2 linked regions of the Elephas maximus indicus genome follow. The protein of the gene in region 2 purifies or fractionates together with the protein of the main gene of each other region. This does not show direct contact. Links are inferred from orthologs where the notes say so. Each region holds a gene or a part of one and is shown on either strand. Other genes may lie near its edges.

Region 1 (8,265 bases), on a different chromosome or scaffold from region 2:
TACAAATGAGTCCTGTTTCTAAGTCTGTCTTTAAGTCAAATTTGTATGTAAATCGGAACAGTTAGGTATGGTTCAGAATCTAATAGTCAAATGTTTATCCCAGCATATAGTGTAACTTTCTACGTATAAAAACATTAAAGAAACACTTCCAGATACACTTAAACATCTTTAGCATACTGCCCCATAGAGTTTCCGAGAAGCGCCTGGTGGATTCGAACTGCTGACCCTTTGGTTAGCAGTCGTAGCACTTAACCACTACGCCACCAGGGTTTCCATAATCTTTAACATAATACAGTAATGATAATAATATTTTGACACATGTTGCAAAGTAGTGCCCATTTGTTATTATGAACCATTGTATTATTTCAGATTTTACAGGGCTTGGTTCACAACTATGGGTTGTATGTAAACCTGACATTCGTAATCCACGGGCTGCCTGTACCAAGAAAGTCAAAGATTCTGTCCCAAAAGAAGCAGCTCTATCAATGTCCTTAATTGTGTCATGCAGCTGTATCCCTGTCCAGAGTTTCATCTGCTTAACTTCCAGCAGAAAAGTTGCTTTTTGGTGCAATTAACATACTAAGGCAAGCTCAGCCCTGTCTTCCACAGCCTTGAGGCTGCTGAGTAAGTCTAGAATCATGGAACCACATTTTTATAAAGGAAGGTGGTTCAGTGACAGGAAAAATGGTCTAGAAGCATATTTAGAATTAAGAAAAACAGACTCTGGTATGCTACCCTGTGATTTTTTAACTTTTTATGTAGAATCTATTAAAACTATCCGTACCTTTCAGAAGCAGTCATGGTGATATGCATTTACACTATAATGAGAGAAATAAAATCAATTCTTCATCATAATAATAGCTATCATTTCTTTTACCCCTACTACATGTGCTCAGTTCAATGCTAAGCCCTTTACAAACATTTCTAATTCTCTCTAATATTAAACCCAAACCCACTGCCCTCGACTTGATTCTAACTCATAGCAACCCTATAGGACAGAGCAGAACTGCCCCATAGGGCTTCCAAGGCTTTTAATCTTTATGGAGGCAGACTGTCACATCTTTCTCCCACAGAGGAGCTGCTGTGTTCAAACTGCCAGCCTTTCAGTTAGCAGCCGAATGCTTAACCACTGTGCCACCAGGGCTCCTGTTCTATAGTGTTCATGTCCTCACTTTATAAAAGTCGAAACCGAGATTTAGAGAATTTGAAAATTACCCAAAAGCTAGTTAGCGGTGGAAGTAAGGTTTAAACTCAGGTCTGCCTGACCAGAAACACCACATTCAAGAAGAGGATGTTTTACCCTCAAGAAATCTAATCAAATTATAAAATTTTCCACACAAAAAAAGACCTTCTTGTCGTCGTCAAGTCTTAATTACAGGGAAAAGATTTGAACAAAGTTATAAAGCAATTCAACCAGTCAAAAAAAGAACTCAGGATTTCCAGACTCATGTCTGTGTACAATAGGGAGAACCACCAGTATCCAAGCTGCCTCTCTAACCACCTCTAATTCCTCCAGGAGCGTCATACTATAAACGACAAGGGCATTGACCTGCACCATCATTAAACAAATTCCCTCAGACTTGCCTCGACATCGTCTGTTTACTGCCTAGATTTGGGTAGTTACAACGAAAAGGTCATCTGCTTTATAACTTAACCATGCAGCTATTACAGCAAAAAAGTTTAGCTGGGTTCAAGGTTCCAATTCAGCTGAGTCCTACTCAGAGAAACCAATGCAGACTTCACATCGTTTTATTGCTATTCTGACAAAGCAATTAAAATCATTCAGAACAATCAAAGGGAAAACCACGAATCACTGTCCTCACATTGTGCCTGTGAAACTAGACCCATAATTCTTTTTTATATGATCCACATCAACTCTTTTTTCAGCTATTTGCCTTTTTGTTATCCTGGGCTGATTCAGCTTCAAGAGAAAGTGACACACCAGGATAGCTAAAGTGAGAATAATATTTGGGTATCATACTACTCGACACACTTACTCCTTGGTGGTCTTAAGGAGTCAAACTTATTTCCGAAAGAAGCTGGCAGCTGAGCCAGGACAGCCTCACAGTGATCACTTTTCCCCCAAAGCAGTATTTCTTCCTAACACTTTCAGATGGTAAAAAAACGAACCAGCCTAATAATCCCGAGCCGAGAGGAAAACCCTCTCTATTCACAGAAGAGGCAAGGATACTGCTGTCTCTCGAGATGAAGGGCACAGCCCTGGAACTACTCCATGGAAGCGTCGGCCACTCATCGCCCCTAAGACACCAGACAACTGAGGGTCCCAAGGCGAGGCACCTACAGCTCTCCAAGTAGGAAAGCTCTTTCCACCTTGCTGGGGGGGGGCTCTCCTAAACGATGCGGTTTTCCTACATCATCAGGGTCTCCCCCCCGGAGTCCGCACCATGACACACGAGATGTGCTGGGGTGCAGGGGTGGGGCGCAGCACTAGGTGCCTCTGCTGCCCTGCCAGCTCCCAGGAGCCGAGGGCGCGCTACCTCCGTGTTGCCGCGAAGGGGCGCTGTCCAGCCCTGCGGCCTGAAGGGCCGGCTCGGCAGCCAGGGGTCTCTCTGCTCCCAGGACCGGGACGCAAGGCGCGGGGGGCGCCGCCGGCCGACTACCTGCCGTCCCCCCGCCGTCCCGGCCTCGCCACGAGAGGCAGCCCGGCCCGAATACCTTCTTGACGGTGCGCGGCGCCTCGGTGACGGTGCCGTCGGGGCTGACCAGGGCCTCGCCGCCGTCGCGGTGCCGCTGATGCTGGTGATGGGGGTCGCTCCGCTTCATGGCCGACGCCTGAGGCACCTTCCCGGCGGCAGGGCTGAGCGCGGCGGCGGGCCCGGAGCCCGGGCCGGGGGCCGGGGGCCGCTCGGCGGCCGGAGCCGGAGCCTCAGGGTCCCCGCCGCCCGCCGGGGGAGACATGGCGCCCACAGCCGCCGTGCTCAGTCCTAGCTGCGGTTCCGCCTCGGAGGGGCTCAGGTCCTTCAGCTCCACCTCAGGCACCTTGGCGGCCGCCGCGGCTGACACAACCTGCACCGACATCACCGCCTGCGCCGCAACGGCCGCCTCGGGCTCCAGCTCCGGCTCGGCCCCGCCTCCTGCCTCCCTTCCCTCCCCCATTCCCCCACTCCTCCCCTCCATCGCCTCCGCTCCCACCCCCTTCCTCCGTCCGCCCGCCCTCCCGCCCGGGCCCGTCCTGCCCCAGCCCGCCCCTCCCCAGCCCGGCCCCTGCGCGAGGCGCCACGGAACCTGTAGTGCGCTCGCTCCCGGCCGCACGCGCCGAAAAGATCGTGGGACCTCAGCCCCCGACCTGCACCGCGCGCCGCCGAGGGGGCGAGCCCGCCATGCCCCCTGGGAGTTGTAGGCCCTTTGGGCCCTTCCTCAGGAAGGTACGCTAGACTTCTATAGGGAAGAGGGCTCTCTGGGGCTGGCGACTAACGGAAGGGACTGAAGACAGATGACCTGAAGAAGGGGATGGGAAAGAGAAAGTCTCCAGAGGACTTGCCGCTTCCAGGGAGGAAACACTAGAAACCCTATAGATGGGAAGGTAGGGGTGGAGGAACCGTTATCCTGACAGCGTGAATTTCCTGTGTGTGTGCAAGTCTGCGATCACGTGCGCGGGCATTTAAAGGCAGAGGGGCAGCGTCACGTGACGAGACCGCAGCCAGAGGCTTGCAGTGGCTTGTTTTTGTTTTTGTTTTTCCCCCATCCCCGTGAAATCAGAACCCTAACACCTTTGCGAACTAATGGTTTTGTTTTTAGAAAGAATATAAGGAGACCTTGACTGCTGTGATGGTTGCTGTCATAGTCTGGGTTTGGAAGTTAAAAATCAGTTCCAAAAGGAGTTAGGTACCACTAGGTTGAATTTTAAAGGCTCAGGAATTACGAGTTGCCTTAAACAAGGCCAAATCTTTTTACCTGTTAACTCAACATGGAAAATGCACCATCTCTTCACTTATAAACACGGTTAGGTTCTAAAGACTGTGTGAAATCTGTGTTATGCAAAAATGGAGGATGACTACATCATTACCAAGTTATGCCAAGGTATTACATAACTGCCAAACCACTGAGAATCTTGGCCCAGCCAAGTTAACACATAACCTTAACCATGAAAGCCAGCGTTATTCTCTCGTTGCACTTGGGTGTTCATTGCTCCCAGACCTACGTTGTTAATGTGCAAAATAGTTGAATAGTAGATACTTTAATATTGTAGTAAATGCGAAATGTCAGATAACAAGGTAGTTGATAAGTGAGGAGGAGGTGTAATATGAATTCAGTTAAAAGCATTAGCATATACCCCACCCCCCAAAAAACAAACCAGGTGTCATGAAGTGGATTCCAACTTATGGTGACCCCATTGTGTCAGAGTAGAACTGTGCTCCATAGAGTTTTCAATGGATGATTTTTTGAAAGTAGACTGCCAGACCTTTCTTCCAAGGAACCTCTGGGTGAAGTTGACCCTCCAACCTTTCAGTTAGCATCCAAGCGTATTAACTGTTCGTACTATCTAGGGACTTCAGATAGTAGCATAAACCAAAACCAGATTCGTGCTGTCGCACTGATTCCAAGTCATAGTGACCCTATAGGACAGAGTCACACTGCCCCATAGGGTTTCCAAGGAACAACTGGTGAACTTGAATTGCCGACGTTTGATTAGCAGCCTGAGCTCTTAACCAGTGTGCCACTGGGACTCCAGATAGCAACATAGAGGAATATTAACTAAAATATGAATAATAATTTCCCTAAGTTATGAGACGTGGGTTGATATTTCTTCCTTCTTTGTACTTTTCTGTTTTATTTAGAATTTTTTCCTTTTATTTTAAAAGATGTAAATACAAAACATACATGGCAGTTTTACTTTCAATAGGAAAAAAGTATCTGAGGAAAAGCTCAAATGTCTTTCAGTAGATGAATGGATGAACAAAATGTGGTACATGCATACAGTGGAATGTCATTAAAGACAAATGAAGTTCTGATGCATGCTGTGACGTGGATGAACCTTGAAAACATTACACACAAAAGGACAAATATGATCTCACTTATATAAAATACCTAGAATAGGCAAATGCATAGAGACAGAAAGTAGGTAAGTTATCAGGGGTTGGAGGTAGGGAGAAATGGTGAGGTATTGCTTAAGGTGTACTGGGTTTCTGTTTGGGGTGATTACAGTTTTTTGTTTTTTGGAATGAATAGTGGTGATGGTTGCATAGCATGGTGAATGTGATTAATGTTATGGAATTGTACACTTAACACTGATTGAAACAGCACATTTTTTGTGATATATATATATTTTGTTTTTACTACAATAAAAAAAAATTGCCCCAATTAGGACCAAAATGACAAATATCCTTCAATTCATAAACAGATCATTGGCTGAGGCCATAGAGAAGGAAGACTGGATTGGTAATCAGTCAAGATCCTGCCCTGGTTTAGTCTAAATTACCCCACTAATTAGCCATATGGCCTCAGGTAGGTACCTGTGGCAAAATATCAAACAATGCAGGAAGCATCAAAGAAAGATGGAAGGAATACACAGAGTCACTGTACCAAAAAGAATTGGTCCACATTCAGTCATTTTAGGAGGTAGCATATGGTCAAGAACTGATGGTACTGAAGGAAGAAGTCCAAGCTGCACTGAAGCCATTGGTGAAAAACAAGGCCCCAGGAATTGACAGTGTACCAGTTGAGATGTTTCAACAAAGGGATGCAGTGCTGGAAGCACTCACTCATCTAGGCCAAGAAATTTGGAAGACAGCTACCTGGCTAAACAATTGAAAGAGATCCATATTTGTGCCCATTCCAAAGAATGGAATGCAGAAATTATCAAAAAATATCATTAATATCACATGCAAGTAAAATTTTGCTGAAGATCATTCAAAAATGGTTGCAGCAGTACATCTGACGGGGAATTGCCAGAACTTCAAGCCAAATTCAGAAGAGGACATGGAACCAGGGATATCATTGCTAATGTCAGATGGATTCTGGCTGAGAGCAGAGAATACCAGAAAGATGTTTACCTGTGTTTTATTGACTATGCAAAGGCATTCGACTGTGTGAATCTTAACAAATTATGTATAACATTGCAAGAAATGAGAATTTCAGAATACTTAATTGTACTCATGAGGAACCTGTACATAGAGGCAGTCATTTGAACAGAACAAGGGAATACTACATGATTTAAAATCAGGAAAGGTGTGTATTAGGGTTGTATCCTTTCACTGTACTTTTTCAGTCTGTATGCTGAGCAAATAATCCAAGAAGCTGGACTGTATAAAGAAGAACAAGGCATCAGGATTGGAGGAAGACTTAGTAACCATCTGCGATATGCAGATCACACAACCTTGCTTGCTGAAAGTGAAGAGGACTTGAAGCACTTACTAATGAAGATCAAAGACTACAGCCTTCAGTATGGTTTACACCTTAACATAAAAAAAAAAAAAATACAAAAATCCTTATAACTAAACCACTAAGCAACATCATGATAAATGAAGAAGATACTGAAGTTGTCAAGAATTTCATTTTACTTGGATCCACAATCAACACCCATGGAAGCAGCAGTCAAGAAATCAAACGATACATTGCGTTGGGCAAACCTACCGCAAAAGACCTTTTTAAAGTATTAAAAAGCAAAGATGACACTTTAAGGACTAATGTGCACCTGACCCAAGCCATGGTATTTTCAGTTGCCTCATATGCATGCAAAACCTGGACAATGAATAAGGAAGACTGGAGAAGAATTGATGTCTTTATGGTCTTGGCAAAGAATGTTGAGTATACCACAGACTGCCAAAGAAAGGAACAAATCTGTCTTGGAAGAAGTACAGCCAGAATGCTCTTCAGAAGTGAGGTTGGTGAGACTTTGTCTTATGTACTTCGGACATGTTATCAGGAGGGACCAGTCTCTGGAGAAGGACATCATGCTTGGTGTTATGGATAAATTGTGTCCCTCAAAAATATGTGTCAACTTGGCTAGGCCATAATTCCTGGTATTGTGTGATTGTCCAACATCTTGTCATCTGCTATGATTTTCCTATGTGTTGTAAATCCTACCTCTATGATGTTAATGAGGCAGGATTAGAGGCAGTTATGTTAATGAGTCAGGACTCAATCTACAAGAGTAGGTTTTGTCTTAAGTCAATCTCTTTTGAGATATAAAAGAAGGAAGTGAGCAGAGAGACATGGGGACCTCATACCGCCAAGAAAGAAACACCTGGAGCATAACGCATCCTTTGGACCTGGGGTCCCTGTGCTGAGAAGCTCCTTGACTTAGTCATCTAGTGTTGCTGCAACAGAAATACCACAAGTGGATGACTTTAACAAACAGACATGTATTTTCTCTTTGTTAAAGTAGGCTAGTAGGCTAGAAATCCAAATTCAGGGTGTCAACTCCAGGGGAAGGCTTTGTTTATCTGTTGACTCTGGAGGAAGGTCCTTGTCATCAGTTTTCCCTTGGTCTAGGAGCATCTCAGTGCAGGAACCTCAGGCCCAAAGGACACAGTTTGCTCCTGGCACTGCTTTCTTAGTGGTATGAGGTCCCCAACTCTCTGCTGCCTCTCTTTCCTTTTATCTCTTGTAAGATAAAAGGTGGTGCAGGCCACACCCCAGGGAAACTCCCTTTACATTGGATCAGGGATGTGACCTTAGTAAGGGTGTTACAATCCCACCCTAATCCTTTTTAACATAAAATTACAATCACAAAATGGAGGACAACCACACAATACTGGGAATCATGGCCTAACCAAGTTGGCACATATTTTGGGGGGACACAATTCAATCCATAACACACCTCTACCAAAGAAAGATTGATGACAAGGACCTTCCTCCAAAGCTGACAGAGACAGCCTTTCCCTGTGCTAGTGCCCTGAATTCAGACTGTTAGCCTCCTAGGCTGTGAGAGAATAAATTTCTCTTTGTTAAAGCCATTCACTTATGGTATTTCTGTTATAGCAGCACTAGATAACTAAGACACTTGGTAAAGTAGAGGGTCAGTGAAAGAGAGGAAGACCTTCAGTGAGATGGATTGACACAACAGCTATAACAACGGGCTCAAACATAGCAGTGATTGTGAGGATGGTGCAGGACCGGACACTGTTTCATTCTGTTGTGCATAGGGTCACTGGGAGTCAGAACCAATTCAATATCACCTAACAACAAATACCTGTGACTATTAAAAAAATTTAAATCAGCAAAAAGTAGAGAGAATAAAATAACAAAACTGTCTGCCACTATTCAGTTCTAGTCAGTCCTAACATTTTGACCTTTTTGCCT
Region 2 (7,928 bases):
TAGGCCCTGTCCCTCCTGCCTGGTGACTCTCTCTGCCATGTTCCCAAGGCCTCAGCTCGGGCTTTGTCTTCTCCCATCTGAACCCTCACCCCAACCTCTTCCCTGGCCTCCAGTCTCTCCCTCCAGTCCATCTCCTACATGGCCCTGCAGGGCTCTTTCTACACTCAGAGCTGGCCCTCCCTCTCCCCTGCTCACAGCCCTCCCTGGCTCCCTAGTACCTTCAGGATGAACTCTCAGCCCCTCAACTTGGCATTCGAGGCCCTGCACACCGCTTAGCCTCAGCCTCGCCCCACCCCTTCCCAGCCACCTGTTCCCCAACCCCATCACCAATGTTCCAGCCTCTCAGCCTTCCCTCCAGCTGTTCTCCCAGCCCGGGAGGCCCAGCCTGTCACCACTTGTTTCTGGGCCCCGCATCCTCTGAACAACAGTCCCTCTGTTCTCTATCTGCACCCTCAGTGGATAGGGCAGGGGAGGGACAGAGTAGGGGAAAGTCTAAGGATTATTTTCCTGTGTCTCTGTTTCCCTTCCCAGATCGAGGGCTCCCGCAGGGTCAGACTCTGTCTGATTCACTTCTGGGCCTCCAGCATAGTCTTAGCATGAAAGAGCTGATTAATCCCTGATTTGGATGATGGAGGAGCTGAATACATTGTATAAGAACCAGTCTGAGGGCTGGGACTCAACCTGAAGACACTGGGAGGTCTGGGAGAAAGACTATTCTGGCACCTTATGGGGGACAGGCTGGGAGGCTAGGGTGTGATTACAGGCTGGAGAGATCAGGGCCCGAGTTGGGGCTGGTGCTGCAGGGACAGAGAGGAGGGGAAGAGCAGAAGGTAAAGCAGTAATAAAGCAATGATGTGTGAAATCTTGAACAGTGAGGAGAACCATGCCAGGCTGCAGAAAGGAGGAAGCTATGCCAGCAGGAAAGAATAGCTTGTGCAAAGGCCCCGTGGTGGCTCAGTGGGTAAGTGCCTGGCTGCTAACTCACTAGCAGCTTCATAGGAGAAAGATGTGACAGTCTGCTTCCATAAAGATTACAGCCTAGTAAACCCTATAGGGCAGTTCCATTGACTTAATGGCAATGGGTATACCTGTGGTAAAGGAGTCCTGGTGATGCAGTGCTTAAGTACTCAGCTGCTAACCAAAAGCTTGGCAGTTGGAACCCACCAGTTGCTCCATGGCAGAAAGATGTGGCAATCTGCTTCTGTAAAGATTACAGCCTAGGAAACCCTATGGGGCAGTTGGAATCAACCTGAAGGCAATGGTTTTGTATACTTGTGGTTACAGTCCCATTCAGGAATAGGTTTACTTTCTTATGTCAATGAGGCAGTAGGGTGTATCATAAATTAACCTTTTTTGAGATATAAGAGAGCAGATTAAGCAAGCAAGCACAAACAGAGGGGAAGATACATGCCACATGATCACCAGGGAACCAAGGAACAGAAGCTAAAAAGAGATAAGGACTTTCTCCCAGGGCAGAGAGAGAGAGCCTTCCCTTAAAGCCAGAGCCCTGAATTTGGATTTCCAGCCCTCCTAAACTGTGAGAAAATAAATTTCTGTTTGTTAAAGCCACCCACTTGTGATGTTTCTGTTACAACAGCGCTAGGTAACTAAGACAAGCAGTTTGAGTTGAGGGGTGCAGTGAGAGACAAAGCTTTAGAGCTGGGTAGGGACTAGAGCACACAGGCCTTGGATCTCAGGCTGTGGGGCTGGGCTTTGTTCCAGGGTTACTGGCGAGCCATGGGAGGGATGTGAGCAGGGTCAGCTCTGGGGTCAAACGCAGGACAAACTAGAAGGGAAAGACTGGAAACTGGAAGCCCAGCAAGGAGGCTGGGACAAGGGTCCAGATGAGAGAGGGTGAGGCCTGACCTGGGACTGAGGCCATGGGGGCAGAGAGGAACAGGAGGAACATCTCCACCAGCCCAGGTGGGGTGAGCAGGACAGAAAGCCCCCCTGGCTCTGCCCTGCCTCCCTGTGAGACCCAGGCGAGTGGCATTGCCTCTCTGAGCCCTGTGTCTCCAGGTGCCAGCAGTTCGGGTGGGTGACAGTCACCTCTTGCAGATCTCATCGGCAGCCTCCTGGCTGAAGAGCTGCTGCTGCAGGACGTTGTTGAGGGCGTGGACGGCACACAGCTCCAGGCGCTGCCGCTCGTGGTACACGGAGGGCTGGCTCTGCCGGGCTCCTGGGGCCTGGGACATAACGTCCTTGGCTCCTGCGGTGGGGGGGCGGGGAGGAGTGGGACTCAGGGATTAGGATCTGGAGGCCCAGAGGCTGAGGCCCAACCTCCCAGCAGGCCCTTGGGGGCACCGCCATTGAGGTGGGGACTTGGGGGAGCCTGGGAGGACACTGGGCCCCGACCTGCTCCGTAGGCACAGAGGTATCTCCATTCCCTGCCCCTAAAAACAAGGTTCTCCTGTCCACCTAGCAACAGGGGACCCCCCCACCACATCCATAAGTAAAAGGGTCCCTATATTGGTCACCTAGCAACAGAGAAACGCCCCCCGTCCCTAAGTAACAGAACCCCTCCCTGGTTGCTTAGCAACAGAGGACCTCCACCCCCACCTCACTAGGTAACCAAGTCTCTATTCTGGTTATCTAGCAATAGAGGACTCCTCCTTCGCTGTCTCTAGGTAACAGGGTCTCTTCTGGTCGCCTAGCGACAGAAGACTCCCCCTCCCCTGTCACTAAACAACAAGGTTTTCTCCTGTCACCTGGCAACAGGGCCCACTAGCTAGTCACTAAGCAACAGGGTCCCCTCCTAGTATCACCTGGTAACCAAGCCCCTTCCCCGTACATCAAGCAGTAGAACCCCTTTCCCTGACCCGTACCCCAACCGCGGCGCTCGCCCGTTGCCTGGCAACGCCGCTCACCCCGCCTGCCTCTCCTTTCCCCCGAGCCAGGGGCTCCCGCATCCCCCTGGGCGGTGGCTCTGTGTTCCGAATGCTGGGCGGGCAGCGCGGCGCTGACTGGGCCGGCCGGACGGACTACAGCTCCCGGCGGCCCCCGCGTGCCGGACTACGACTCCCGGTGGCTCCCGCGGAAGCGCAGGCTGCGTACGGAACGACCGGGCCGCGTGGACAGTCACAGCTAAATAAGGTGGGACTACAACTTCCGTCGGCCTCTGCGGCGAACCCGGAAATACACCTCTTAGAGGCCCACCCCCTCGCGCAGTGTGGGTACTACTGCGCCCCCGGCTTCCCAGAGGATTCTGGGAAATGTAGTGCGTAAGCTCTCGCGATAGCTGCTTGGCTTATTGGCCCCCCCCCAGCCCCGCCCCCCCTTGTGCCAGTCTCTCGCTTGGCGTCACGTACGGTGTGCAGAGGCAGCGTGACGTCACAGGAGGGAAACTAGAGCCCAGAGAGACACCCGGACTCTGCAGGGGGAGGAGCCACCGATCTTTACTGAGACAGGAGGGAGATCTGGGGAAACTGAGGCCAGGCGAGGCGTGGGACGGCGGTGGGGGGGGTAAATGATATGCGGATGTTCTCTCGGGAGTGAAGAAGCTTCTCAGCAGAGATGGATCCCTGGCTTGGAGGGGAGCTGGCAGCAGCCTGCAGGGGAGAGGCGGAGAATTAAAGACTGGGACAGAGAGAGAGACAGAGATAGATATAAGGAGCATCCCAGCAGGGTTGGGGGGAGAAGTCCCAGAGAGAGGGGGACAGAGACCCAGAGAGAGGAGGACAGGGACCCAGAGAGAGGGGGACAGGGATCCAGAGAGAGAGGGATATAGAGACCCCAAAAAAGGACGGATATTTAGAGAGGAAGAGAGACCTAGAGGGAGGGGATGGAGACCTAGAGGAAGGGGATGGAGACCCAGAGAGAGGGGGACAGGGACCCAGGGAGAGTGGGTACAGAGATGCCGCGGTGGGGGGGGGGCCGAGGGAGACAGAGACCCAAAGAAAGGTGGTTAGATACTCAGAGGGGAACAAAGACCTAGATGGAGGGGAACAGAGATCCAGAAGAGAGACATGGACAGAGAGAGAGATATGAAGTTTCAAAGACTTGTAGGGGAGACAGTTAAGGAGCCTCAAATACAGACCAACCAGAAGGGACAGAATCAGAACCAGGCAGAGCCTGAAACCCACACTCTGTGGAACACAGGTGCCCAGGCCTCAGGGCAGGAGGGGCCCCTGACACTGGGGAGGGGCACAGCCGCACCCAGGAGGCTGCGCCAGAAGGCGGTGACCGTGGCAGAGCCGGTGACAGCGCCTGGCTCAGCAGGGTTCTCTCTGCGGGTGTGCACGACAAAGCTGCGGCCTGCTGGGCCCGGGGGTCCGCTTAGTTCCACATCCACCACGTGCATATCCGGGAGGCTGGGGCGGGCAGGGTGGTTAGTTGGGCTGGCTAGGCCTCGGCTCGCGCCATCCCCTCCTCGGCTCGGCTCGGCTGGGCTCTGGGCTCACCTGAGGTCAGCCACCAGCACCCCGATGACGCGGTCGAAGCCCAGGCTGGGGGCAGCCAGGGCAGCAGCTGCCATGGTGTTTGAGTTGCGGGGGGCCCAGGGGCACAGGCCTCGGACAGGTCCCTGGTAGAGCACCGTTCGGGGCCCAGTCCTGGGGGCTGCGGCCAGGGGCCCCTCTAGCCGGAAGCCATCGGGGTGTGTGGCCATGGTGACGCGGAGGCTCTGGAAGCAAGACCTGGGGTCAGGGGGCCTCTGCAGGCCCCCTCCCAGTTCCCAGGGAGCCCTATAGGCCCTCACCTGAAGGCCCCCTGCCTTGTCCAATCTGGTGATGTCCTCAGAGCCCCACAGGGCCCCCCGGGCGACAAACACGGCATGGCCCCAGCGATGGGAGGCCTCCTGGAGCCGCTGCTCTGTGGCCTGGTCAGCCAGGGCTGAGGGGGACCCCACCTGGGGATGCATGAATGGGGGAGGGGCTGAGGTCAGGGCGTGTGGATGAGGTGGGGTTGAGGCTGAAGGGACAAGGTCCTGGGGTCACAAGGAGGGGCTTACCAGCAGATTCGCGTGGCGCAGGATGTGTGCCCCAGAATCATGGATTATTTTGGGGTGGGCCACTTCCACCACCACATCAGGGTGCCTGGAAGAGGGGAGAGATGGGAGAGGGTATGGGAGAGGGCTTGGCCCCCTGCCTCCCAATTCCTTCACAGGCCGTATGCGCCTGTCTCCTTTTACGTGTGGGTGAACTGAGACCCAGAGAGGCTAAGGGTTTTGTCTGAGATACAGCAGCTGAGAGCAAAGCAAAATCTTTCAGGAGCCCTTCTGGACCTGACGAGGTCACTGACCTCTCCCTGAGGGCAGCAAGATCCTGGAGCTGCAGAGAGGGGGGCACAGTCCCTGCCATTCGTCCTTGGTCCCGATTCCAGACAAACACAAGTTCTAGGCCCAGTTCTGGCCCCTGAGCCAGCAGGTGTGAGACGAGAGACTGTCCTGGGGGAGAGGTGGGGGAGAGGGCTAGAACCTGTGAGAGGGGGACAGAGGCCCAGAGAGAGGGGGGATAGAGACCTAGAGAGAGAGGGACAGAGACGGGGGGGGGCAGAGATCCACAGAGAGATGGGGGGCAGGGTGGGGGGGGCAGAGACCCAGAGAGAGGGAGACAGAGACCCAGAGAAAGAGGGGGATGGAGATCCAGAGATGGGGGGACAGAGACCCAGAGAGAAGGGGACGGAGACCTAGAGAAAGGGGGGCATGGAGACCCAGAGAGAAGGGGATGGAGACCCAGCGGGCACAGATAAAGACACAGGAGGAGGGGGGACAGGGACTTGGCCTTAAGTAAGAGGTCTGGAGAAGGAGGCCCAAGATGCTCAGGACTCACCGAGGCGTCCGTAGCCCACCACCCCCACCCTCCAGGGGGCTCTGTCGAGGGCCATGCCTGGACCTGACAGCAAATGTCCGAGCTCCAGCTGCTTCTCCCTGTCCCCCCGCCCCCAGCCACCACACACAGGAGGCCTGGGCAGTGGTGACCTTTGGACATTTGGCCCTTGGGCCTCTCTGGAAACTTCCACTGAGCTGGGGGAGTGGGTTTGCTGGAATGAGGGTGGGTGAGGGTACTTCCCTTCCCTCTGAGGTGCCCTGAGTGTGCTGGTTTGAGACTCAGGGGCCCCGCATGGCCCCCACTCTATCCGGGCCACCTTCCTGCCTTGCACCCTCCTCCCTTCTTGCTGTTGTGGAAAATTTCCTCTGCAGTCCCCCGCCCCCTTCGGGCCGGCCAGGTTGCCATGGAAACTGCATCCTGCTTGGGGTGGGGGTTGAGAGTGCTGGGAGGGAGCGGGAGGAGCTGGGAATAGGGGACTCTGGACTCTCAGCTTGGTCCTCTTTCTGGGTCTCTCCCTCCGCCTTGGCACCAGTGTGCTTCTTGTCCATAAAAAAAGAAAAGAACAAAAAGCTCTGAACCCGTTACTGCCGAGTGGATTCTGGCTCCCTGCGACTCCCTGTGCGGACCCCTTGTCCCTCCCTGCGGTTCTCTCTGAGTCTCCACCGCGGGGCTCTCTCTTCTTTGTCTCTCTGTCTCCAGCCCTCCCTGCCCCTGCTACGTCTCCTCCTGGCCTGGTCTGTTGCAGTTCTGTCCCCAGCCTGGACCCAGTCTGCCTCTTCTCCCCAACCCGCCTGGCTGGTCCGCCTAGCTGGTCCTCGGGTGGCCTCAGCCCCGCCAGCTCCTGCGTTTCCCCAACCTGCCCTAGCCATGCCCTTGCTCCAGTGGGCCCTAGTCGTGGCCCGGCCCCTCCTCGCATCCCCCAGCTCCCAGGCCTTACCCAGCACCTCCCTCCTTCCTCTCATTGTCCTTCAGTTCACCTTGACTTTTCACCTTTCGCTCTCCCGCGCCAAGATGCGATCAGCCACACCCCCCCTTACATCCTCACTACCATGCCCTTCCCTCCCCGCCCAACTCCAGGGGCCAAAGAGATGGCCCGAGGCCTGGAGAGTTCCTGAGTGGCCCCCAGAACGCGCCCTGCCCGGCTACTGCGCCTCTGGGGTGCCTGGCACAGAAATGGCGGAGGCTGAGGCAGCCCCGAGCCCTGCCCCCAACTACCACCTGGTACCCGCTGCAGTGTTTCCATGGCAACCAGGATCCGCGCTGAAAGGGACCAAGAGGAAAAGGGAGCATGAAAGGGAGGCTGGGGGCCTGGGGACGCCCAGAGTCCTAAGTTGACAGGTGGTAGTGGCGGAAGCAGATAGTTGCAAACTGATAGGGCCTGAGACCCCAGACACCTCGCCGCCTGGGGAGGCTGGCGGGGGTGGGGGGGGGCCTGATAAGAGGAGAATGTGCCTTAAGAGCCCCAGTGGGGTGAGACAAGATGCTACAGGGGCAGGAACAGTCAGGGGAGAGGTGCCGGCAGGCCTCCTCAGGCCTCCCCAATTAAGCCCTTTCTGCCCATCGCCCCGCCCCCCCATGGTCGTCACTTGACCTGGGCTGGTGTTCCACGGTGTCTGCCCACGTGAGGGGAGCAGGGGGGCCTGGAAGGGGTGCCTCCCTCTTGTGGTATGCAGCTGTCAGGCCCCCTCAGGCTCTGCTCACCCCTCTGTCCTCACCTATCTAGACAGGCAGCTGTCTCTCTCCTCTGTCTCTGTCTCTCTCGGCTGAGACGTGGGTGCCTGGGTCTCCCCTAGACATCACGCACTCCCTCTGCCCAGCAGCTGCCCCTGGCAGAGGGCTCTGTCCCTTCTAGGCAGCGGTGTCCCCTCTCCCTGTCCCCTCTGCTCCCCAGGCCTGGACAGAGTCCTTCCTGCCACTTCACTAAAAAACAAGGAACAAACAGCTTCCCTCATGCTCCTGGGGCCTTGGCTACAGCCGGTACACTCCCCGTTCCCCCCTCCCCCAGTCACGCCACCCTCCCCCCCCCCCCACACAACCCTCTTTCTACTGCAGCAGTGTCTTGAGTGGCTTTGGGGTCGAGACCAGCACATCCTGGTTCAGGCCCCCTCAGTTTCCTCTGCTGTGAAGTGAAAACCAAAATAACTAATCCTGTTGCCATGG

The links. The genes of interacting proteins can lie anywhere in the genome.
Region 1: the proteins of JOSD2 (region 2) and AHCYL2 purify together in Homo sapiens (affinity purification with mass spectrometry; 3 studies listed by BioGRID and IntAct, counting the BioPlex papers as one, with this or other methods). This does not show direct contact. The link is inferred for Elephas maximus indicus from reciprocal best matches to the Homo sapiens genes JOSD2 and AHCYL2.

The regions. Positions count from the first base shown.
Region 1 is NC_064826.1:20,868,783-20,877,047, forward strand, and holds the start of AHCYL2 (adenosylhomocysteinase 3), read right to left. Parts: upstream 3,099-8,265; 5' UTR 3,040-3,098; coding exon 2,677-3,039; intron 1-2,676. UniProt on the Homo sapiens protein: May regulate the electrogenic sodium/bicarbonate cotransporter SLC4A4 activity and Mg(2+)-sensitivity. On the contrary of its homolog AHCYL1, does not regulate ITPR1 sensitivity to inositol 1,4,5-trisphosphate.
Region 2 is NC_064829.1:97,909,845-97,917,772, reverse strand, and holds the start of JOSD2 (josephin-2), read right to left. Parts: upstream 3,012-7,928; 5' UTR 2,826-3,011; intron 2,210-2,825; 5' UTR 2,196-2,209; coding exon 2,050-2,195; intron 1-2,049. Other genes in the region: ASPDH (aspartate dehydrogenase domain-containing protein), read right to left, coding at 3,505-3,548, 4,156-4,310, 4,401-4,621, 4,697-4,846, 4,949-5,033, 5,239-5,383, 5,769-5,823. UniProt on the Homo sapiens protein: Cleaves 'Lys-63'-linked poly-ubiquitin chains, and with lesser efficiency 'Lys-48'-linked poly-ubiquitin chains (in vitro). May act as a deubiquitinating enzyme.